3 linked regions of the Canis lupus familiaris genome follow. The protein of the gene in region 2 interacts with the protein of the main gene of each other region in a biochemical or structural test. Links are inferred from orthologs where the notes say so. Each region holds a gene or a part of one and is shown on either strand. Other genes may lie near its edges. The genes, in order: AGO1, TNRC6B and AGO2.

The links.
Region 1: the proteins of TNRC6B (region 2) and AGO1 form a complex in vitro, tested with the Homo sapiens proteins (2 studies listed by BioGRID and IntAct). The link is inferred for Canis lupus familiaris from reciprocal best matches to the Homo sapiens genes TNRC6B and AGO1.
Region 3: the proteins of TNRC6B (region 2) and AGO2 form a complex in vitro, tested with the Homo sapiens proteins (3 studies listed by BioGRID and IntAct, with this or other methods). The link is inferred for Canis lupus familiaris from reciprocal best matches to the Homo sapiens genes TNRC6B and AGO2.

What each region holds. Positions count from the first base shown.
Region 1 is NC_049236.1:6,334,401-6,342,320, reverse strand, and holds part of AGO1 (protein argonaute-1), read left to right. Parts: intron 1-373; coding exon 374-533; intron 534-717; coding exon 718-808; intron 809-2,068; coding exon 2,069-2,263; intron 2,264-3,932; coding exon 3,933-4,067; intron 4,068-4,608; coding exon 4,609-4,710; intron 4,711-5,246; coding exon 5,247-5,446; intron 5,447-5,685; coding exon 5,686-5,794; 3' UTR 5,795-7,920.
Region 2 is NC_049231.1:25,843,652-25,851,571, forward strand, and holds part of TNRC6B (trinucleotide repeat-containing gene 6B protein), read right to left. Parts: intron 7,481-7,920; coding exon 7,305-7,480; intron 5,011-7,304; coding exon 4,936-5,010; intron 4,066-4,935; coding exon 4,020-4,065; intron 2,749-4,019; coding exon 2,600-2,748; intron 1,379-2,599; coding exon 1,208-1,378; intron 1-1,207.
Region 3 is NC_049234.1:35,890,428-35,898,993, forward strand, and holds the start of AGO2 (protein argonaute-2), read right to left. Parts: upstream 5,486-8,566; 5' UTR 5,454-5,485; coding exon 5,432-5,453; intron 1-5,431.

The sequences.
Region 1 (7,920 bases), on a different chromosome or scaffold from region 2:
TCAAGCAGAACTCCTATCAGAGTGCATTTTTGCATCCGTTCCCTCTGGTTGGAATGCTCTCCCAACTCCACCCCTCTTCTAATGATTTTCCACCACTGGGTTTCATTTTTATCATTATTTAGTCCTTTCCTGGCTGGGTTATTATCCCCTGATATATGCTCTCATACCTTCATGAAGTTTTTTATTGTAGCATTTATCATTGTTGTACTTCTCATGATTTTTAGATTAGTCACTAGACAGTAACCACTATGATTAGGGACTCTATGTTTCTGGTTATCACTGTATTCTTACCTTCTTATATCCTGCCTGACATCTAATCGGCATTCAGTAAATATTTGTTGAACGCACTAATTACTTCTCTCCCTGCTTATAGCTGAAGTGAAACGTGTTGGAGATACACTTTTGGGAATGGCTACACAGTGTGTGCAAGTGAAGAATGTGGTCAAGACCTCGCCTCAGACTCTATCCAACCTCTGCCTGAAGATCAATGTCAAACTTGGTGGCATTAACAACATCCTAGTCCCACACCAGCGGTATGATCTCTGTTGCCCACTTGCCCCGTCAAGCAAGGTACCATGTTGGGGATTGTCAAAACGATAGGACTCTGGCCAGGCAGAGTGAATCAGACACAAGGGAGAGATGACCAAAATGGGTACTAGATGGTGCCAGGAAGAGAAGATCCAACTCCTCACCATTTGTTTTCTCTTCTTTGTTTAGCTCTGCCGTCTTTCAACAGCCAGTGATATTCCTGGGAGCAGATGTTACACACCCCCCAGCAGGGGATGGGAAAAAACCTTCTATCACAGCAGTGAGTGATACTCTCCAGCTTCTTCTTAAGGTTCTCATTTTAGCTCTGAGCTTCGAAGACTGCACATAATATCCTTGCCTCAGCTCTGATGCTTGACCCTTCATAAAAACTTTTTTTCCAGCTGATCATCCCCATTAACCACTCCCTTGGTATCTTCATTAAACTAACTCTGTATGGTATCTGTTTTTCAGAGAGAGCAGTGAGAGTGTAGGCGGTGGCCAGAGACTTTGACCAGTCTCCATCACTCTTGCTCTGTGTTCAAATTTCTCTCTCTCTCTCCATGCCCACTTTTGGGATATAGGAAAGACCATATCTCTTCTCTGAAATCCTTTTTAACGTGGTTACCTAGTTGCTGGGACTGACTGTTCTTTCCTCTTCCCCATCCCTACCCCTGATCCATCTAATAGATTAGTTGTCTTTCCAATCCCTCTCTAGCTTCTCTGCTCCCCATCCCTAGGGGCTTCTGAATTGCTAGGGATCAGGCCTTTCTTCCCACTTCTCTTTTCTCAACCCTCACATTTCTCTAGGCAAACGGGGCTAATCACAGTAAATGCAGGTAAATACTATGCTATGCTTATCCTTGTTTTCCTTGTGGCCGTCCATCCTAGGCTCTGGCCACGTCCCCTTTGAAAATGATATTACTCCTACCTCCTGCAGGAACACTCTTCATTGTGATTACTGGGTAGATTAGTACTTAAATTGAGAAAAGGACAAACTTGTAGCTCTTTGAGTTGGTAGTGCCAGACCTTCACATTACCCTCCTGCAAGGGGTAAGAAAATCGAACTTACCAAGTACTTACTGTGGGCTAGGTCTTATGCAAGGTGTTTTATTTTTTTTAATTTAATTTTATAGAAGATTTTACTTATTTTTTCATGAGAGACACAGAGAGAGGCAGAGACATAGGTGGAGGGAGAAGCAGGCTCCCCGCAGGGAGCCCAATGCAGGATTCGATCCCAGAACTCTGGGATCATGCCCTGAGCCAAAGGCAGATGCTCACCCATGAGCCACCCAGGCATCCCTGCAAGGAGTAGCACTGTAAGCAGGTGGCATTCTTATCTATTTGAGAGGAAAAAGAAGATCAGATGGATTAAATAACTTCTGCATGCATGATAGAGATTGAAACCAGGACTCATTGTATCCAAAACCCTACTAATTTGATTGCATAGTTTTCTTGCTAAGAAGCCTTCCCCAAATCCACATCCTAACAGTGTTGGGAGGGTGGAAGTTCTGGAGGCTGATCCTGCCTCTTTGATTGTTAGGTGGTAGGCAGTATGGATGCCCACCCCAGCCGTTACTGTGCTACTGTGCGGGTGCAGCGACCCCGGCAGGAGATCATTGAAGACTTATCCTACATGGTGCGTGAGCTGCTCATCCAGTTCTACAAGTCTACCCGCTTCAAGCCTACCCGCATCATCTTCTACCGAGATGGGGTTCCTGAAGGCCAGCTCCCCCAGGTAGGGCCCAAAGTAGGTGAAGAAAACCTTCACATTGGGGCCAAAGGGCCTAATGGGTGCAGAGAGTACTGCTCCCTTTTTTAAAGCTATTGGCATTGGGAGGTGGTACTTTGAGAGCTTTGCTAAATGGCAGTAAGGCCTAGGATGGTCCCTAGAATTTATAGTTCCTTTTTTTTTTTTTTTAAGATCTTATTTATTTGAGATAGAGACAGAGCACGAGTAGGGGGAGTGATAGAGGGAAAAGGAGAAGCAGGCTCCCCACCGAGAAGGGAGCCTGATGTGGGATTTGATCCCAGGGCCCCAGGATCATGACCGGAACCAAAAGCAGATACTTAACTGAATGAGCCACCCAGGTGCTCCTAGGATTTGTAGTTGACAAGTTCCTACATAGGTGATGCTGCTGGTTGGAGGTCACACTTTGAGAATTACTGCTGTTGAGCTTCCTTCAGAATGTTCCTCCTATTCTTTGTCCCTGCCAAGTCTTCATATTCTGTTGTTCAGAGTATATAATGAACTGGTTTCCTTGACTACCACTTAATATTAATACAGCTGTTATTTATTGAGCACCTCTTATGTACTATGAATTGTGGTAAGCACTTCATATGTGTTCTACTTAATGGTTAGAAAAACTCTATGAAATAATAATTATCCCATTTGACAGATGATGAAACTTGAGGCTTGGAAATGTTAAATGATATCTTCAGTGTCAACCAAGCTAAACAATGGTGGAACTGGGATTCAGACAAATTGGTGTGATTTGAGTTTATGCTCTCATCCATTTCTCAGTTTTCTCTAAGTCATCCAGTCTTCCCTAAAACAGCAGACAAATTTATACTATCATTTTTCTGTTCAGGAATGTCTAGTAGCTTCACATAGTCTTGGGATAAAATTCAAACTGCTTAGCAAAGCAATCAGGAGTTATTAAGCCCCTACTAGGTTTTTTATACTTTTACTTAATTAATCTGTTACACTTTTCACAACAGTTTTGTGAGGCTAACTTTAGTAGATGTGGAGAAAATGAGACTTAGGAGGTTAAGCAGCTTGCTAATAGGAATATAACTGAATAAAGCTTGGGTTTAAACCTAGTTCTAATTGATTTCCATTCCGTCCATTTTCTACCATACAGTTTTGACTCCCTATATCTGACTTCTAAGGCCACAAGGCAACTATTGCCTATGGTTATTTACTTGTGGGTTCTTCTTTAGCCCATTTTCTTATAATCCTGCTTCTTTGTAGGACTGAATTCATCTACTCCTTCTGTATCAATTCCTGAACTATGTGTCTGCTCTTCTCTGGTGATCTCAGCACTGTCTGCTCTTAGAGCTCAGGGGGAATTCCTATTATCCTCCTGATTCTGAAATTGACCTTACTTTGGGCATTGTGATATTAGTGATGTCTGTGTACTTTGGTTCTGTGTCTTTTTATATATGAACCAGGTGAGTGCTCTCTGCTGATGCCAGCCTCCCAACCAAGGTTTTTTAGCAACATATCATGGCAACTGAGTATAAGACAAATTTTACAGGAAGGCTCTGTCATCTGTGATGGTTGGGTGTCAGCTTATAAAGAGACTGAGCAAAAAGCCATATACAAATGGCAACCTCGTAGTTCACACAGATGTGACTTAGGAGAAGCTATATGTCTCTTTGTCTCCCTTCTCACTCGTGCCTAGATCCTGCACTATGAGCTGCTGGCCATTCGTGATGCCTGCATCAAACTGGAAAAGGACTACCAGCCTGGGATCACTTACATTGTAGTGCAGAAACGCCATCATACCCGCCTTTTTTGTGCTGACAAGAATGAACGAGTGAGTAAGAGATTGAGGAAGCCACTCATACCCTTATCCTGTGTCCCTTCTCTTAATATGGAAAAAGCCCTTGAGATAAATTTGGGGATTTAATCCTTGGTTTGTCTGTTGTCTCTGGCCCCTTCCCCCAGCTCTTGTCCTTCCCTTTTTTCCTTTTGTCCCCTCCTGCCTTTATAGTCCGGCTCCTTCCTCCTAGCTCCCTCACCTGTAGACCCCTCTATAGACCAGCTCCCAGAGAAGAAAAGAGAAGTACTATTTATTGAAGTTCTGTTATATGTCAGACACTGTACGAGGTGTCTTCCTCACAGCAGCCCTGTGAGGTAGGTATTATTACCTCCAGTTTAACCTCAAAAAAGTTAAATGACTTGCTAAAGTCACACAGCTAATGAATGGTAAAATCAGGTCTGTGTGACAGTAGAAGCCCATTATTTTAATATCTAATATCCTCTAGGAACAGCAACTTCTGCTTTACTTTTGAGATTCTGGTGGGCCAGGCAGACCTTGGGATCTTGGGATCTTGGTTGTCTTTGTCTCTATACAGATTGGGAAGAGTGGTAACATCCCAGCTGGGACAACTGTGGACACCAACATCACCCACCCATTTGAGTTCGACTTCTATCTGTGCAGCCATGCAGGCATCCAGGTAGCCGGGCTATGTCCAGGGGTTTCCAATGGGTCAAAAATGAATTGATTATTCCCATTGTCTCTAAAATATATCAGGTGTCACTGAGGGCATTCAGAACAGGATTATTCTCTTAATAAGCTTTTAGCGTATATGAACAGAAGTACATTTTGAGCATCTTAAGCAGGATTGCCCGTAACAAGGGTATTTTGTGACATAGGTAGCTTTGTGTGTGCGTCTTCCAACCCAATCACACTCCTTTTTTTTTTTTTTAAAGATTTTATTTATTTATTCATGAGATGCACACACACACACATACACACACATACACACACAGAGGCAGAGATACAGGCAGAGAGAGAAGCAGGCTCCATGCAGGGAGTCCTATGTGGAACTCCATCCCAGGACTCCAGGATCACGCCCTGGGCGGAAGGCAGGTGCTGAACTGCTGAGCCACCCAGGGATCCCCCACCACACTCTTAATAGTGATCCTATTCCTTAGCATTGGCCATCCCTTCTGCCCAACCTGGGGCCCCCTCACCTTCCTATCTTCCCAGGGCACCAGCCGACCATCACATTACTATGTCCTTTGGGATGACAACCGTTTCACAGCGGATGAGCTCCAGATCTTGACGTACCAGCTGTGCCACACTTACGTACGATGCACACGCTCCGTCTCTATCCCAGCACCTGCCTACTATGCCCGCCTGGTGGCTTTCCGGGCACGATACCACCTAGTGGACAAGGAACATGACAGGTGAGGCCTAGGATCAAGGTGGCTTTCCTTTAGCATCAGCCTCTGGTACTAGATCCTCTCAACTTTCCTTGGGCAGAAGGAAATGAATATTATATAATATGGTATCTTTGGGCTCATATGCCCAAATCTGGGTTGGGGCTTTCTCTTAACTTGGTATGGGAATTGGTACTCTGAATGGGGGAATGGATTAGCAGCAGCTCAGTGCACCAGGAAGGACTTCTTTCATTTTTGCTTTTCAGTGGAGAGGGGAGCCACATATCGGGGCAGAGCAATGGGCGGGACCCCCAGGCCCTGGCCAAAGCCGTGCAGGTTCACCAGGATACTCTGCGCACCATGTACTTCGCTTGAAGGCAGAACGCTGTTACCTCACTGGATAGAAGAAAGCTTTCCAAGCCCCAAGAGCTGTGCCGCCCAAATCCAGAGGAAGCAAGGAGGAGGAGGGAGGGTAGGGAGGAGTTCAGAAGGCCTTGTTTCCTTCTACAAAGGGGGCAAAAGGGTGGGGAACAGGGCCAGTAAGCCAGACCACCAGCCAGAAATCTTTGATGTCCACCTCATGACCCCCACCCCTCCACCCATCTTGTCACATCTGGCCCTGACCCCACTGGACCAAGAGGGGCAGCACTGGTGCCCACCATACACACAGGTGTCTCATGTGACTCACAGTGCTAAAGACTCATGCCTGACAGCTTGCTAAGGTCGGCTCTGCAGCCCCGCGGACAAAAGCTGGTAGGTTTGGGTTTGATACTTTAGATGGGAGAGTGAGGGGCTTGAGAAAGTGGGTGGGAGGAGGGAAGGATTTTTTAGGAGCCTTAATCAGAAAAGGTCTAGATTTGTTTAAGAGGAAAAACGAAACCAGACCCAGATCAATATTTTAGAATACTAGATGTTTTAATGGGTTGAAAATCCAGTTTGTAGGAAGATTTTTAATGCTAATGATTTTGGTTGCTCCTCCCCCAGCTGACACCCCTTTTTCCCTTATTCCTTTCTCTCTACTTTGTCTACCCCACCTTACACCTCCTCCCTGACAGACATCCAGCCCCTAGTAAGACTTAAGGCACTATGGCACTTAGCTCTGAAGTGACACGACCCTGTCTTCCTTCCGCCTACTGGTGGGTAACCAGTGCCTTCCCTGTAACGGTAATGCTGCAGAACTGCAACCTTTTGTACCTTTCTTTGGGGGGATGGGGTGGGGGTGGGAGAGGAGGTAGGTGGGGAAGAAATACCCCTAACCCAACAAGCCTCTAGCCAGAGCGCCAGCTACTTTGCATTCAAAGGAATTAACTTCCATATTCATTGAGCTTTTAAAAAGATCACAACCTCAAGATGGTTAAAGTCCATTGACATTTGCACTTTCAGACATGACAAGTCTAGGAGCTGCTGAGATGACTGGCCCTTGGCCTTTCCACTTGACGCCTCCTTTTCTCCCTGTCGTCGTCCCCCCCCCCCCCCCCCCAGCCTTCCCACCTGCCTGGGTCTGGAGTTACTTACATCGCATTTCTCATTCTTGGCTTCTTTTTTCCCCTGATGGTCAAGTCGATTATGTTTCAATATTTCTTAACTGGGGTGTCTTATAACAAATGATCTTTAGGTCTAAAATAAGAAAAAAAAAAAGAGCAAAAACTAAATGTTATTTTTATACCATAACTTGAGTCTGTTGCCAAAATCTGGAAATCCCTCCCATGCCCAATAAGTTTACATCCCAGAAACATTGAGCCATCAGAAGGAACTATGTACCTGACTTATTCTTTGGCCTGGCTAGGTAGGGAGAGTGGTTATCTCCCCAAGGTGGGGCTCAGGCTCCACCCTTCCCCTGTGCAGATAATATCGTTTTCTTGCTGTAGGCGCCCTCCTCTGCACTGCCCTGTACTCTTCCTGCAAGTGCATCTTCCCTTTCTCTAGACTGTTCTCTGACACTTTGGCTCATCCCAGATTCCAGTGTGTCCTGTGGACAGGCTGGGGGATTTTGCTGCTCCCTATCGCTTCTGTTTACACAAATGAATTTTTCCCAGTTTCCCACTAGGGCATGTGAGTGGGTGGCATGGGCCTTTGTTTTGTTTTGTTTTGTTTTGTTTTTGTCTCCCTGGATAAAGATGGGGTTTGGCTATCTTGCAGAACTGGAAAAGTAGGGGGTTTCTAGCTTGGTGCCTGCTGGCCTTGAGGCAAGGCCCCCTCTTTCCTTAACTGTTCATTTTTTTCCTATCCCACTGCTTGGGATGAGGAGTTGCAGCTTCAGTGTGGAAGTTCCTCTTTGTGAGGAGCCTGGGCTTGGGTTTGCCCCAATCTGGTGATGAAGCCATGACACTTTAGACCTAGCTCAGGCTTGGAGGCCAGTCTGAATCCTGGCCTGTGTGCTTAGAGCTACCATTTCCCCTCTCCAGCAGCCCTTGTACAGACCCAGATTTGCTATGCAAAACAGTCTATCCCAGGTTCTGTTCTGGTTGGCTACTTTGTTCAGCAACTTCACAAAACGTAGC
Region 2 (7,920 bases):
TACCTCAGTCCGAAACAAATGAGCTGCCCAAAACCATGAATATAATTATTTCTTCTCTGTTTATATAAGCAATACACGTCTATGTCCTCTGTGGAAACATTAAGAAAAAGAATGAAATATAAAAAAAGAAAACAAGAAATTACCCGTAACGCCCAAACTAGAAAAACCAACTGAACACATGGACATTATATGATCCATTTTTAACATGTGCTAAAGCAATAATCAGAAAGCATATGAAAGACCTGTGTACACCTGGAGGACTATGATGTGGAGGACTAAAGGTATGTTTTATATATCTTTTCACTTGTAATGTGAAAGTCAGCATGTGGAAACAAAATAGATATAATAATTAAAAGTCCTTCCATGACATCCTAAGGTGAGAGTCACAGTGACAGGTCAGTGGTCACAGTACTGTGGCTAGGAATATATCATCAGTCACCATTCACAAGGGAATTGTCTCCAAATTCCTGGTTTTCTCCCCGACAACCACCCTGGAGCTGCTGTGGGGCAACAGAGGCCAGCAGTGCTGCATCAGGCCTATGAAGGTGAGGGGGCCTCAGGGGCCAGCCCTGCCAGTTTGGCTCTTGGTGCAGAGCCCCTCCCAGGAAGACTGAGGCCACCCCTATGAAATGGGCAGCTCCAGGCTAGATGGAACCGCCATGTCTGAGCAACATCCAGGCTTCCCAAAGCTCTTCTATCAAATTACCTCTCCCTGGGTAATGACTATATTTTAACTTAAAGACACTAGATTTTAAGATGCTGTAAAGCTCAAGTATTTACTCTTACTAGTTTTGCTGCTATTTTCTAATTAGAAGTTTTACTAAATCAAAAGGACTTCAAAAGTATCACTTGCCATTCAATCTAATGTCAAGAATGGCAAATCCGTTGCTAAGTTAGATGACGTAAGGTACCTATGTAGCCTCCTTAACATTTTCCTAAGCCAGTTTATTAGTTAACTTCTTAAATGTGAAATTAGGACCAAAAATGAGAAGACGAAAGAAACAAATTTAAAATAAAATCCATGTTGAGAAAATATGAAGAGAGATGGGTTCTACGGGCTGAGAGATCTAAAGCCTATACTTAGTATCATTCTGTGCATTCAGTAATCAACAAATTTCCCAAGACAGACAAATGATGCAATGAACTGCAGACCAGGGCCAAGGCAAGGCCACAGTCAAGCAGTTATAAATTTGAGAGGCCTCCTTACTTGTCTAGCAGCGAAGTTTTGGGGGTTGAGCCCTGTGCCGATTGCTCCAAGGCTGACGTTGGGTAGTGTGGAACCAGAGGGAGACAGCTTGTAGCTGGGAGAAGGGGAGAAGGGAGAGCAGGGAGCCTCATCCCCAAGGCACCCATCTTGATTGGAGAAAGGCAAAGTCAGCTGAAAAGTAGTAGGAGTTAGCCAATCACAATGAGTGTTGGTTAGTGAAGCAACAGAATGCAAGAAGGGACAAGAGAGAAACACTAGGAACAAACAGAGTTAGAGTGTATTAGCAATAAACGAGGATGGAATTTGGATCTGATCAGAGTCATCACACTTGGCCCAACAGACACCATCTGTCACCTCTGATATGGATTTTTTCTTATCCTCTAAGTAACACATTCTGTCCATTGCACTAAGATAAAAATTGCCAGACTCTGAATTTTTATGCATCTAATATTGATTACTCTATGTGGCTGCTGAAACAAAAGCCAGAGTAATCTTATGAATCTGTTGCTGCCTGAAACAGCATTATCAATAACGTCAAAAATTTGCCAGATCAAAAACTTTTTTTTTTTTTTTTTTTTTTTTTTTTTAGATTTTATTTATTTATTCATGGGAGACACAGGCAGAGGGAGAAGCAGGCTCCATGCAGAGAGCCTGACGTAGGACTCAATCCTGGGACTCCAAGATCACGCCCTGGGCTGAAGGCGGAGCTAAACCGCTGAGCCACCCAGGCTGCCCAAACTTTTGGTTTTTATTGCTTTCTGAAGACCAGGGCCATGACAAATCAGTATTCTGAATCAAGGAATTATTTCCTCCAATTGGAAAGACAAGAATCAAAAACAAATAGGTATTCATGACTTCTTTAAATCAGGTTGAGAATTTGAACAGTATACCATTATAACTCACAATAGGTCACTAGAGAAATGGAGAAAGAACAAAGGAACTCTCTTAGAAATATCAAAAGAGAACGTTCTGGAACATCTTAACAAAGCTAGAAGGGAAGGCCTTAGGAGATACGAATTATCTGCACGATATCCCAAATTTAATTTCTCACTGTACAGCAGAATAAATTGGTCTCTAAAATTTCTTCCACACATTTCGCATTCCCACTATAAAAAGTCAGACCATTTATTTCCCCCTTCCAAACTTCATAAAATTTCTAAAAACTCAGACCTTCTTCATAATACTCACATACTACAGACAGATGGTTCTAGCTTCTGCCTAGTCACCTGTTGACATCAACTGTTTTCATGTCAACACTTAAATGCAGGTGATGTTTATGTTTTGCTCATTAATTAATTCAGTGACTCTGTGCTTCCTCCTGGAATCAATTATCAAAAGAACAAATGGGAACCAAAGTGGTTCGCATGAATTATCTTAAAGGATTTGACTCACCTTCTCGAAATAAGGCCCACTATCTGTGGTTCCCATGTCTTTGGAATTAGGTGGACGGAACCCAGATCGATCCTTCCTCATGATATCATTAAAATCCCCGAGATTCATTGCTCGCTTGTCCACGTCAAATTTTTTATCTGGAAGGCTCCCTGAAAAGTAACACAGAAGTGAAAATTTCAAGAACAAATATCTCCCTCATGATGGGGGTGGGGGGGGTACCGGTCCCATTCTTCTCCCTGAGGTGCTGGGCATAAGACCATGAGGGATCCTCTTGGTTCAGGCCCCCAGGGGCACGTGTGGATCCTTTTGTTCCTTCTTAAAAAACTTGTGTCAGTTGTAGCTTGTTTTCAATGGAAGATTGAAAGAGAGATTTAGGGCCAACCTGGTAAAAATCTGACTAAAAAAATAGTTCCACTGGTTATTGACATGTTTGATGACTATAACTCACTCATAAAATCAAATGCACTTCGTGAGAGAGTTTGTCTCCTGCTGTTGTTTTAGCATCTGCTAGATAAATGGGTGGGGTTGTGACACAGTTATTGAGAATAAAAAGGCCTAAGAGGCATAGCTGTTGCCCTAGAATTTAAAACTTAGAGTTGGGCACATTAAGTGAACAAGAGATTTCCCAAGTACCATGACTACTACTCCTTTTCTTCACAGCTCTGGAAATTTGCTATTATATACTGACATGATCAGTGCCCCTGGAAACTCATTTTTTCGTCACTCTTAGATTTTAAAATATCATAGATCAGACTATCTCCCTTATGACCTAGGACTATTTTCCTTTTTCCTTGGTTTGATTCTTTTTAAGTTCCTCAAGGTGAGCAATAGCATCATGGTGACGATCCCACAGACTAGGGGCTAACATGGCAACTGCTCCACTTAGGGTGGGAGAACTCATCAATAATGAAACATTCCAGTGCAGACAGGACTACCAACCTGAGAACAGAGTCTGGCAGGGCCACAGACATACTTTGGCCACACACTAGTTTTTAAAATCTGAATTAGTTTCCAATATTTAAGAATCAGGATGTCAATTTATGTCTGAATTTCTGGCCTCGCTCGCCAACTGGAAGCTCTGACAAAGCTGAACCCTTACTCTCCATGGCAACAACTGTTAAGGCCAGAGCAAGGCTGATTCCTTTATCCTGGAGATGGTACATATTCCCCCGACAGCTAACCAGTGGCCTTCAACTCCCAATTTCTTATACCTGGTACATGACACTCATTTTGTTACTTTCCTGGATCCCGCAACTATTTGAGTTTTCAATCCCTAGTGTCCAGGATGGTCCTTTATGTCTGCTGAATGGCACCCATCCCAACTCAAGCTGAGCAGGGATCCAATATAACATCATTTTTTTTTTCAATATAACATCATTAATCACAATATACCCATTCATATTAGTAGAGTGATACACACCTACAGACAAATCCATTTTGCTGCCTGGATTATCTTCAGTTTGACTCTGAAAAAGAAGCAACAGGGAGGGAGGATTAAAGGTTTGAATTTGCAACATCTGTATGAGAGAGATAAAAAAATGGCATTATTTACGTGAGAGTTGTGGCGTACTATTGGTACTCTACATGGTCCTTTGACATAAACCTTATACTGGAATGAAGACAAGATCACTGATGATGTGACTAATTTTATTGCCTACGGTGTCCATATTCCCACATTCAATTTTCACATAGAATTAGCTTCAGTAACTCTATGGACAGAGCAATAGCTAAATAGCTGCTTAGAGAAATAAGTTCCAGTCGGCTCAGGATCAAATTCCACGAGTGTCAGCCAAATGATGACAACCTCTTCTCGTGACTTGTCCAGTCATCAAATCTGGAAATGTGCAGCCAAGTCAAGCTATCTGTCTTTTGGCAACTAGGGATGGGGTGTCCCACAATGTTCCCGAGAGATTTAAAGAGAGAGAGAGAGAGACAGAGAGAGAGAGAGAAATCCTACAAGAATTCCCTATATAATTAATTACAAATAGTTCCCCTACTTATTTTATTGTTGCTGCTATTTTCAAAACTGTAATATGAAAACTGGTACAGTATTAGTCAGGGAACGTTACGTAAGTTTTAAGGCCTGGCTCTTTCTGCCCCTAACCACTTAAGGAAAAGGACACAAGGACTACAAATTCAAAAGCCATAGCCTTTAAATATTGGAGTATTTCATTAAGAATAAAAGAATAGAGGACAAATACTGCTAAATCCAAATCAGAAACACTGTTTAACCAGTTTCTAAATCTGTAATGTTGTACTCTAGTGGCAGCGGTCTTCACATTTGTACTAAAAGTAAAAGCTGGGCTGTATTACACATAAAAGAAAATGAAACTTACCAGCAATCCCATATTTGAAAACTGTTTGGCAAGAGGATTCATCCATGAATCATTGTTTCCTCCTTTCAGTGAGCACTACAGAAATGAAATACATAACCTCAGAACCAAATTATTTTATCTCACTTCTTATCAGTTAGATTTATGTACTGATTGAAAATGCAGAACCAACAGTTTACCTTTCTGAGCCCAAATTTCCCTCTTTAACTGTGGTTATTTTGATATTTTATCCATTAGTCTGAAAGAGTAATAAGCTTTAGTTCTATCTATATTTTCATTCTTATTTGATTCGTCACACTGAGTTAGAACTGGAAAAATACATGGTTAGCTGGTGTTTTGTTTTATTTTGTTTTAAGATTTTATTTATTAATTTGAGAGAGAGAGCGAGAGAGCGCGCACACGCACAAGTAGGGGAGAGAGAGGGGGAGAAGCAGACTCCTTGCTGAGCAGGGAGCACTACACGAGGCTCAATCCCACGATCCCAAGATCATGACCTGAACCAAAGGCAGATGCTTAACCAACTGAGCCAGCCAGGAGCCCCTGAGTTTTTGTTTCTTAAGGGACAAACTAGTTTCTCCCCAGAATAGGACATCCAACACCAGCTCCACTTTTACTTCTATGGAGAAGGTAGGTGGAACAATGATGAGGAGTTGGTGGGGATGGGGTGATGGGGCTTTGCTTACTTGTACATTCTACAAATAAAAACTGTTTTGATATTTGTTATGTTGATTTTACTATTCTTCAAAGTGAATAAGTTCACTTAAGTTCAGTCACAGGTTTTAAGGTCAAAAAAGCCCTCACTGTAGGGAGGGTAGAATTGGTAGTTTTTGTTTAATACAAACAGTTTCAGTTTTGCAGATGAAAAGTTTTGTGGCTAGATGTGGCGATGGTTGCACAATAGCGTGAATATAATCACCACTACTGAACTGCCTGTGCACTTAAAAATGGTTACAATGGTAAATTTTACATTATCTGTCTTTGATCACAATCAGTTAAAAAAAAAAGGCCCTTGGACACAAAAGGTCAGAATTGTCAGTTGTGGAGCAGAAATGCCAAATTTCAACTGAGCTGAATCAGTTATGTCTCAGGGCCACCTGAGTGGGCCAGCACCTTTCCTTCACTCACTTCTGTCAATCAGCAGTATTCCTCAACTGTCTTTTTTTCTGTCTTGTTGGGAATTTGTAAATGACAAAAAAAGCCACAACAAGCCAGATAACAGGCGAGTACAAAGATACTGAGAATTTTACGGATTAATTCCATCTGTGACTAGGGGGAGGCAAAGCAATCCTTAGAAGGGAAATTGTAACTAGCTGCTTAAACAGGATGCCTCCAAGATAAACAACCTATGTGTTTAGGCTATCAAGTTACCGTATGCAGAACAACATTAATATCCTACAGCAAAGGGGATAAAGGCATAACCCCCTTAGCTGACTGAAGACCTTCCAGGACAGTACTTGGTATTTGAAACCAGGACAATATTCACTGTGAAGTGTTTCATGGGGCAGCAAGGCTCCCATGTTGAAATTAAATATATGACTGCCTATTTCTAATTTTCATCAATTTCTCTGCAGAAGGGAAAGAATGCCTCTGCTGGGAGAACGGTTCAGGTTCAAAGACTTGTTCTAGACTGAAACCAAAGTCCTCATCAAATTATGCAAATCAAAGGAGAAACGGCGTTGCTCTAAGACATGGAAAATGACAACTTAATTCCTTTTTTTTTTTTTAATTAAGTAGGCTCCATACCCAGCGTGGATCCCAACATGGGGCTTGAACTCACAACTCTGAGATTAAGAGTCGGATGCTTAACCAACTGAGCCACTCAGGAGCCCTGGAAAGTGACTTTACAACACAACCTGGTACAGGATATAGATAAATCATTTGGTTGCTACAGTAGGGTTATGTACTGGCACTTCACTTTGTTGGAAGAATGATTCTGGGTTTTGGAATCTCCCGAATCGGATAAAAACCAGTCATGCTGATTGCCACTGGAAAAGCTGTCATTCTTTGGTTTCTCTTCTATATATCATGGGGACTACCCTAAGGACTTCCTTGGCTTTAGAATCCAAAAGCATAAAACATTTATAAAGTGTGCCTTGAAAGCTTCCAAAGAATTATTATCATATGGAAACTAAAAGTAAAAAAAAAATCTCCTGTCTTTGAAAATTCCATTTTACTCACAGCAACAGCTCTGTAGTTTGAGGTTTCAAGGTCATGGGGAAGGAAGATGAGGAGTAAAGAGGAAGTAATTATTTGCTCTTAAGAAAATATTTTCACCCTTACTTAGGACTTCAGGGACTCCTTCCATGAGAAAATTCTCAGTTCTGCCTTCTAAGAACAAAGAAACAAGCTCGATCATTTCTAAAGCGGGCTACCTTCATTTGCTTCTTTCCTCCTTGTCCCCAGCTTGCTGAGTTGTGGGAGGAAGCACTTCCCTGAGAGCCGGCGGTGTTCCAGACTCCTCCATCATCCTCCTCCTCCCAGCTGGGATGGCGAGTTCCCGTCACTGGACCGTCACTCTCCCCCCAGCCGTCTTGCATAGATTTGGAATCTTTAAGAAAAAAATGGACAAATCGTATGCAATAGCTACATATTAACAATAATCACAATGATCAGTCCTTATGAATGCAGCATTTTAGGGTATTTGTGATCTTATCTAATCCACCTCTGTGGCGAGGCCAATATTCTAGCCCCTTCCACATTCGTATTACCCAAAGGGTAAGTATATCTATAGCTTTAACTATACGATCCTGAAGGAGAGAAGACTTTTTTAAACTGTGAAGGTTTTGTGATGGAAGAGTGATTCTAAGGTTGGAAAGACACAAAAAAATCCAGACCATACTGCTGAAGTATCTCCTTGTGCCAAGGGTCTGGCTAATGTCTTCCAACAGCCATTTTGGATCTATTTCAAGTCTACAGTGTGGTATTTCCCATGATGATACAACCAATTTTACAGTGAAAATCATGATGAAATCATGTCTTTGTAAAACT
Region 3 (8,566 bases), on a different chromosome or scaffold from region 2:
AGCGCTAAACTGCTGAGCCATGCGGGGATCCCTCTCTTTTTTTATCTTAGAGAGAGAGCCCTCAAGAGAAAAATCATGCCCACACGGGGGGGGGGGGGGGGGCAGAGATAGAAGGAGAAGCAGAGGCCTCGCTGGGCATGGAGTCCAATCCTCTGACCCTGAGATCAGGACCTGACCCAAAATCAAGAGTCAGGGACCCTGGGCCCTCACATACATTGTTCCCAGGGGTCACCAGCCCCTTCCCCAGCCGGTCAGAAGTCAGCAGAGAGCAACCACACCAGAGGACGTAAATGCGAGGGGACCTAAGCCAGCAAGGCCCAGCTCCCCATGTACAGATGAGGAAACTGAGACCCAGGACACGCACAGCGCTGGCACCGATGACATTCCCTGTGTCCTCTGCTCGAGCTGTGACTTTGAGGGACGGAAGAGGAAGGTGAAAAGGTGGGATTTTTTGAGTGCTGGCAGGCAGTTTGCGGGGGCTGCCTCCAGTCCGCAGCTAGCGACGGAGGGAGCAGTGTCGGCACCCTGTAGGGACAATTTGGTGGCAATTTCTCAAAGACTGTGCTTGCATCCTTCAGACTTTAGGAGGATTTCAGTAAGAGCAAAGCCACTGAAGAGTGAAACCCTTTAAAATGTGTAAGCCCAAGGGTGCCCGGCTGGCTCAGTCGGCGGAACGTGCGGACTCTTGATCCTGGGGTCACACGTTCGAGCCCCATATTGCATGTAGAGATTACTTAAAAACAAAATCTTTACAATCAATCAATCAATCAATCAAGCGTTTAAGCCCTTTATTTTTGAGCTAGTCTACAAGCCTAAGATGAAAGAAATGCTGTGAGTCAGGGAGACATCCACCCGATTTGCCCAGGCGGCCCTGGGGTACTCCCCTGTCTCAGGGAAATAATTAGAGCCCTCCACCCACACCCACCCCTAGTTCACTTGCAAAAGTTTCCAGAGTAGATGACAAACTGTCTGGTCACCCAGGGCACAGCTCTACTGAAAGATAAACTAGAAAGGCACCGTTGTTCGGTCATGGAGAGTAAGGACCCAGAGACCAGCCAGTGGTGGCGGGTTTTTTAAACTTCGAAAGAGAAAAGCGAGGGGAAAGAAAATTAGAACAGTACAGTTCAGTGATACTTTCACCGGCTAGAGTGGCCACGGCACCTCACCTGGGCTCCTCCACCCAGGACGCCTAACACAGGTGGGAGGAGAGCCGTGAAGCCTGGAGAAACGGCCAGGAGCAAACAGGGCCAGAAGGAGCCGGAGGACGGAGCCCGGCTCCCACCTCCATGTGCAGAGCCGCTCCCACACCTGGGGAAGAGACATCCCCACCTTCGGGGGGTGGGGGTGGCAGAGACAAATGCACAAGCTTCCCAAGGACCACAGTGTTCTCTACACACCCCAAAGCTTCCCTTCTGCTCAGAGCACCACGAAAAAACCCAGGATTCTTCTGTAACAGGAAATTCCAGATGCAAAGGGGTCTGTCTACACACACGGCTTAAGATCAATGTGTCAGAATTAAAACCACAGGCAAGGGGGTCTCCAACCAGCCTCACTCCACAAAACAGAGGGATCCCGAACAACAGGGTTCTTTTTAGGAAACAGGGGAGGAGGATAAACACACTCTGAAGGAAAGGGATTTTACAATCTAAGTGTCCCTGCCAGCCCGCAGCAGGGGACAGCGGGGGAGGGGCCCCAGCGTTAGAGCCCAGGTTAGAGGGCCCCAAAGACACACCACCAAATTCGTGGGTGAACTTTTATTAAAACCCACAATCCATACAGCCCACTATAAACACGCTTCTGAGACAAGAGAAAGTGATTACAAACTTGTGAAAGTGGCCTGGGGTTCAAAGTGTCCCCCTTCTTTAGACACAGTATTTAAGTACTCGGGGTGAAATGACAGATCTGGAATTGGCTCTCGAGTAGCTCCACAAAGGAAAAAGGGGAAAGGGGCCCATCTGAAACCAATGCAGGTCATCTCGATGGTCAGAGGCTCAGTGACGGAAAAATGGGAGAACGTCCTACTTGGTGCTCTACTTTGTGTAAACTATCTCACAACAGAAACTGTTAAAAACAAAATCAAGTGTTACATTTTGAACATCTGTAGTAACAATTCACGAAACAAAAATTTATTTTACCAGACTGGCAGGATATGGTAACACACGTAACACTCATTATAAAGAACACAGTGCGCACCGGCGTTGTGCAAAGTTTTGACACCGAAACTGGAAGTTAACGAGAAATAATATTGTGCTTCTGAAAACCAGACCGGGCAGAGGAGTTGCAACTTTTACGTCGTGTTTCCCTACACACTTACGTGCTTCGAGGTTTCTAACGGATCCAACCAAGCCTTCCGGCCAGCAGCACCTCCCTCCATCCCCCCACTGGGCAGAGGGACACCTGCTGTGTGGCAAAGGTGCATCACCACTGCGACCAGGCTGCTCCGCTGGGAACTGGGGTGGGGGGAGCAGTGGGAAGCAGGAGCTGACTGGCACCGGGAACCTCACTGAAAGCCAGTGATGCTCAAAGTCACAATCCCCTTAGAGGCTTCTCAAACAGGACTTCTGGGTCACAAAAGTTACTTTGTAGCAGTGCCATGAGGGCTGTAACACACAGTAGCTAGAGCACTATGAAACCAAAGAAACAATCCCCTTCCAACAGGATCCCTCAGACAGTTTCAGATCTTGACATTCAACCCCAACAACAAACTAATCTGTTCATCTCTGAAGGCTCCGGGTCGCTGGAGAACCCACTACCTGGAACCACCAAACTCTCTCGAATAGTTAGAATAGTAAGAAGTAGCGACGTACCGAACCTCAGAGCACAAACGCTAATTCACACGTGGAAAGCGTTTATCGTGGGCCTAACACATAGCTACTGCGAACTCTACCTTTTAAGTCAATTTACTCAGTACGTCGCTTAATAAGTGTATTAAAATCGGAAGGAGCAAAACGATTTGTAATTTTTCTACAATCCAGACCGAGCATCTTTTCATTCTTCTAAAATAGGAAATATAACATTAAAAAAAGTTTCATTCAAGAAACTACTCCAAAAGCTCCTTTTAAGCCAAATTAAAAGCCTCGGTGGATAGAATAAAACTGAACTGCACACAGCCTTATAATTACAGCACACTCACAGAGCCTGAAATTTGGGTTCATTCCCATCCTGCCATTAGCTTAAGAACTATCCTACAGACCCATTTATTTTTCAACCAAAGCTGTCCAATTCCAGGGCAGGTTTATCTGCGAACCACGGGGCCCTCTCCCCACCACGCCACAATGCAGAGAATCGCAGCAGAGCCAGATCCTTCCAAAAGCTGTTGGTGACCAGAAAGGAGCCCGGAGATCCAGGGGGGGCTACAGGTTTTTGAAAACAGAAATGCGAGAAAAATACCCCCCGGCGCACAGTTCAGGGTAAGCAGAGCTTCGCCAAGCTCTTGTTTCGATCACACCTGAGCGAGCGCATGCGCACACCGGTCCAGTCGAGATGTAACAGGTATTTCTTAGTGTGGGTCAAGGTCAAAAGGAGCGAAAACCACCTCTTTGAGGAGGGTGTACAGTCAGCTTGGGATCAGACATATCATCCTAATGCTCACCAGCCACATGACCTTGGCAACGTTCTTAACCTACGTGAGCCTCTGCCGTCTACCTTCAAAACGAACATCACCAATTTGCCGAGCCATCCTGTGGGTTAACTGGACACACAACACAAAGCCTGACCTTCCTCAAGGTTCTCTACTTTTTCTGGGCCCTCAACTTTTAAACTGAAAATCTGAAAATAAATAAATAAATAAATAAATAAATAAATAAATAAATAAATAAATCCACACTGTAGTGGCTAAGACTCGCTGGGATCCCTTTACAGGGATTCCTGGGAGATCCCCCCTTGCTTGGCTAGGTAAGGGGGGGTGGGGGGTGCCCAAGACCTGCCTGCCCAGGGTCTCAAGAAGCCAAATCTGCCCTCGGGACGGTGCCCACATAGCCCAGGGCCCTTCCCCACCAGGCCTGAGGAACCTCCCAGATGCAGGATTAAAACCATTCCTCAATCAAGCTGCCCAGAGTCTGGAGAGGCTTAAAAGTTGATGGAACTCGGCCTTGGACAAGCTTTTAGATTAAGTGACATCAGGGGGGAAAAAAAAGACACTCAGAATTCACAAGGCATAGAAGTGTTGGTGGACAGACACAGCAGCCAGGGCCCACGGCAACAAGGGGCCTGAGTGGATGGAGGGGGGGCTTCCAGACCCCCGCTGGGGAGCACGTCTGGGCGGGAGCCGCCAGGGCCCCATCAGCACACCTAGCGAGGGGACCGAGCAAGCCTGCAGCGGCCGGGGCCTGGCAGACAAAGGGGACAGGCGATGCCCCGGCCAAGTGGCAGGCCCAGCCGGGAAATTTAGGAGCCACGTGCCTGGCGGGAGAAGGAAAAAAGCTTTACAACACTTGACTGTTTTCTTGGCCCAGCACCCCGGCTGCCCTTCCACGGTGCGTCGAAAACAAGGGGGGGAAACGTGTTACTCCTTTAAGTTTTTTAGAACTTTTGCAAAGAAAGAGAGCGGCCGGGCGAGGAGGGGTGCTAAGGGAACCGACACTCCTCCTCGCCCGCTTCTAGTAAATTGTAAAAGGCAATTAACACTTGAATAAGCAGCCGGCGTGTCTGGAATGAAAATGAGACGCACGCAGTCTTAGGGTTTTAAGGTGCCGCTTCCCGTCCCTCTCGGGCTACAGTCCTCGCCACCCGCGGGAATTGGCCACAATTCAGCCTTTCCAGACTTTCCTTCAGAGAAGGGGCCGCAGAAGTGCTGGCAACGAGAAAAACGAAACTGAGTGCGCCCCAGGCTCGCCGGGCTCGGGCTGGCTCCGCAGCCGCGCGTCCCCGGCCCCCGCCGCCCGCACCCCGAGCTCGGCGCGACCCGGCGCGACCCCCGCCCCGCCCCCGCCCCGGCGCCCCGCAGTCCCCGCCGTCCCCGCCGTCCCCGCCGACCCCCGGGGCGCGGCGGGCAGGCCGGGGGCGCGGGAGGCCGGGCCGGGCCGGGCGGCGGGCGAGGCGGGCGCGGGCCTCGGGCCTACACGCGGGCCGCGCGGCCCCGGCCCCGGCCCCGGCCTCCGGCTCCACCCGCGGGGCCCCCGGGGCGCGGGGCGCGGGGCGCGGGGGGCGCCAAGGCCCAGGCCGCGCGGGGCGCCCCGACGACCCGGGCCGCGGAGGGAGGCCGGGCTGCGCGCCCGCGCTGGGCCGAGGAACGACCGCCCCCCCGCCCGGGGCCCCGCCGCCGCCCGCCCCGCAGGCCCCGCGCCCCGGCCTCGCCCGCGCCCCCCGCGCCCCCCGAGGCCCGCGCGCCCCGCGCCCCCGCCCCGCGCCCCCGCCCCGCGCCCCCGCCCGCCAACCGCCGCCGCGGGGCCGAGCGCGAGCGGCCGGGCCGGCGCCCCCCGCGAGGACTCACCGGGGCCGGCTCCCGAGTACATGGTGGCGCCGCCGAGGGGCTCCGGGGCCGAGGGGCGGCCGCGCGCGCGCCACGGGCCCCGACGCCGCGAGCCGCGAGGGAGCCGCCGGCCGCACGATCCGCCCCGGCGCGGCCGCCTCGCCAAACAGGTTTACCCGACGCGGCCGGGGCGGCGGGCGGAGGCGGCGGGCGGGGGGGGAGGGAGGGAGGGAGGGAGGGAGGGGCGAGCGAGAGAGGGAGGGGAGGAGGGAGGGGAGGGAGGGGAGGGAGGGGCGAAGGAGAGGGGAGGGGGGGAGGAGGGGAGGAGGGAGGAGGGAGGGGAGGGCGGGGCGAAGGGGAGGGGAGGGGGAGGAGGGCGGGGCGAAGGAGAGGGAGGGAGGGAAGAGGGGAAGGAGGGGGAGGAGGAAGGGGAGAACGGAGAGGGGGAGGAGGGGGCGGGGCGGCGCGCGGGCGGCCGGGAGCCCGGCGGGGGGGCGGGCGCGGGCCCCGCGGGGAGGTGGAGGTGGGGGCGGGGGCGAGGGCGCGGGGCCCCACCGCGGGGGCGGGGCGCGGGGGCGGGGCGGGGCCCCTCCCAGCGGCTCCGGGGGCGCCGTCTTCCCCTCCTGGGCGGAGCGGGGCCCGCGGGGCATCGCCGCCGGAGGCCGGGAAGAAAAGAGCAGAAGCCCCCCCTGGTGTCCGCGCCGCCTCCTCGCATGGGGCGCCCGCTCCGGCTGGGGGGGCGGCGCACGGCGCCCCCCCCCCCCGCGCCCCCCCGCCCCCCAGCGGCCCGGCTGCTGTGGCCGTCCCCGCCCCGGCCCCGGCCCCGGCCCCGGCCCCGGCCTCCCCGCCTGCCTGGTTTTTCAAGTTACTACCGAAAGGCGACCGTGGGGAAGCTCGCGCCCAGCCCGGAGCTTGAACTTGAAGGCGCGGGGCCTGCGCACGACCACACCGCCACCTCCCGGCCGGGAGCCCAGAGCGTCATGGAAAAAAAAACTTGAACAGTGAGTTTGGGGCGCGTGTTAGCTGCGTGAGGTCCAAGCCAAGCCGCCGGGAGGGCGGGCGCGCGCCCTTTGCCTCTGGGACCCCGCCCCGTGCTCCCCGCCGTGCTCACGGAGGCCGTCCCTCGCCCCCACCCGGGCCCCGGCTCCGGCCGCGGTTACCCCCTCCCTCTCCTCGTTGATGGGGGTTACAAGTCTCAAGGTGACACGAAGTCCACACTCGCTGGTCGCCGATGTAACCTACCCGCCTGCGCTTTCCTTCATCCTATAAACGTGTGCTACCTGCGTACTGGGTGCGAGGACCTGAGTGTTCCTCCTGCCAGGGTGATGCAAAGACCAAGAGCCCTGCCTGCAAGGAGCTTAGCATCCTAAGCAGGCTTTGCAAGTCTCAAGAACATCCCTAAATAAATGCCAGAAAACCATGGTTTCCTCCAGAGAGAAACTTAAAGGGACACGGATCTTCACATCATTGATATGAATGGGGTCGGTGCCGTGGCATCAGCCCCCAGGCGCTCATGCATCCCTCCCTGGTCCTCTGCTGACCACCCCCACCCCTCAAGCTGGCCTGGGTCCCCTGAGAAGCCCCTCAAACTACCCTTGCCGGCTCTCCACCCAGCAGTCCCCTTTGTGTGATCCCAAACCTGACTGCGTGCCTGCTTTGTTCAAAGCCCTTCGTGGGCTCTCCAGTTCCATCTGCCCAGGGTCCGAAATCCTTAACTTGGTGCACGACGCCCTGCGGGGTGCAGGCCCCGCCTGCTTGGTCAGGATCTTCCACTTCACCTTCCACAGGCTCTTCAGATCCACGTCTTCATTTTCTCAAGAGTGTTACTGGAGTGTGAATCAGTCCAGCGGTTTGGGAGGAAAGTGTCTGGTAGTGCCTGGAAAAGCTCACACCTGGCCCTACGTGGACGAGCCGTTGAAATGCATGTTTGGGAGCAGAGGAAGGGGGCTGGGTGCGCCACCCAGCATCCACCAGCACTGGAGCGGGTTGTGAGGCGGGTGGATCCTCCTCAAGTAAAACCTAGAGATGAAAATGAAGACCCCCTCCAACACGGATGAGTGTCCAGGGTGTTGAGTGAAAGAGGCCGAGGCCCAGGCTGCAGGATTACATTTGTAGAAGCTACAAAAGAAGCAAAATTGAACTACGTTGTTTAGGGGTACATTATTGGTAAAAAGTTGAGCGAAAGCCAGAAGGTGGTCACCATGAGTCAAAGTGGTAGGTGCTGGGGTGGGGTGGGGTGGGGTGCCCTGGCCACGGGCGGGCTGTGCAGGCTGCTGACCTGCGGGAAATGCTCCTTCCAGTAGACTGCTGCTCATTTGCACATCCCAAGCTGCACATTGGTTTGTTTATATGTTTTCTGTACCCTCTGTGTTTCACGATAAAACATTAAAAAAATAATAACGGTGAGGGGCACCTGGGTGGCTGATTCGGCCAAGCCTCTAACTTCATTTCAGGTCAGGATCCTGTTGTCCTGGTATCGAGGCCCTTCCCTGGGGGCTCCCTGGCTGAGAGTGGGCTCCTCCCTCTGCCTCTGTGTGCTCGCTCTCGCTCTCAAATAAATAAATCTTTTAAAAAATAAAAACCAGGGGGCAGCCCGGGTGGCTCAGCGGTTTAGCGCCGCCTTCAGCCCAGGGCGTGATCCCGGAGACCCGGATCGAGTCCCACGTCGGGCTCCCTGCACGGAGCCTGCTTCTCCCTCTGCCTGTGTCTCTGCCCCTCTGTCTCTCTGTGTCTCTCATGTAAATAAATCTTAAAAAAAAAAAAATAACCATGATGTCCTCTGTCTCCTGCTTGTGACTCAGCAGGCCCCCAGCCGACTGTCCCCCCGCGCCTCCCACCCCCGGGCCTCCCGCCGCAGGCTGCCCTCCTCTCCAGCCCCGGCCGCGGCCCCCTCCCCTCCCCCTCCCTGCACCCCCCACCCCCGGCCCCAGAGCGGCCCCTCCGCGCACACGCCGCGGGGGTAACTTTGTTGCACTTTGTTGCACGGGGTCCAGTGCAAGAGGTCGGGCAACATAATGTCTCCCAGTCGCTTCACTGTGTCGCGACTCGGCGGGGACCGCGCGCGCCCCCTGCCGGCGAGGGGCGCCGTCTCCGGGCTGGGGCTCCCCTGCGCGGGGCCGCCCCCGCCGCCAGCACCCCCTCGGCTCTCCCCCGGGG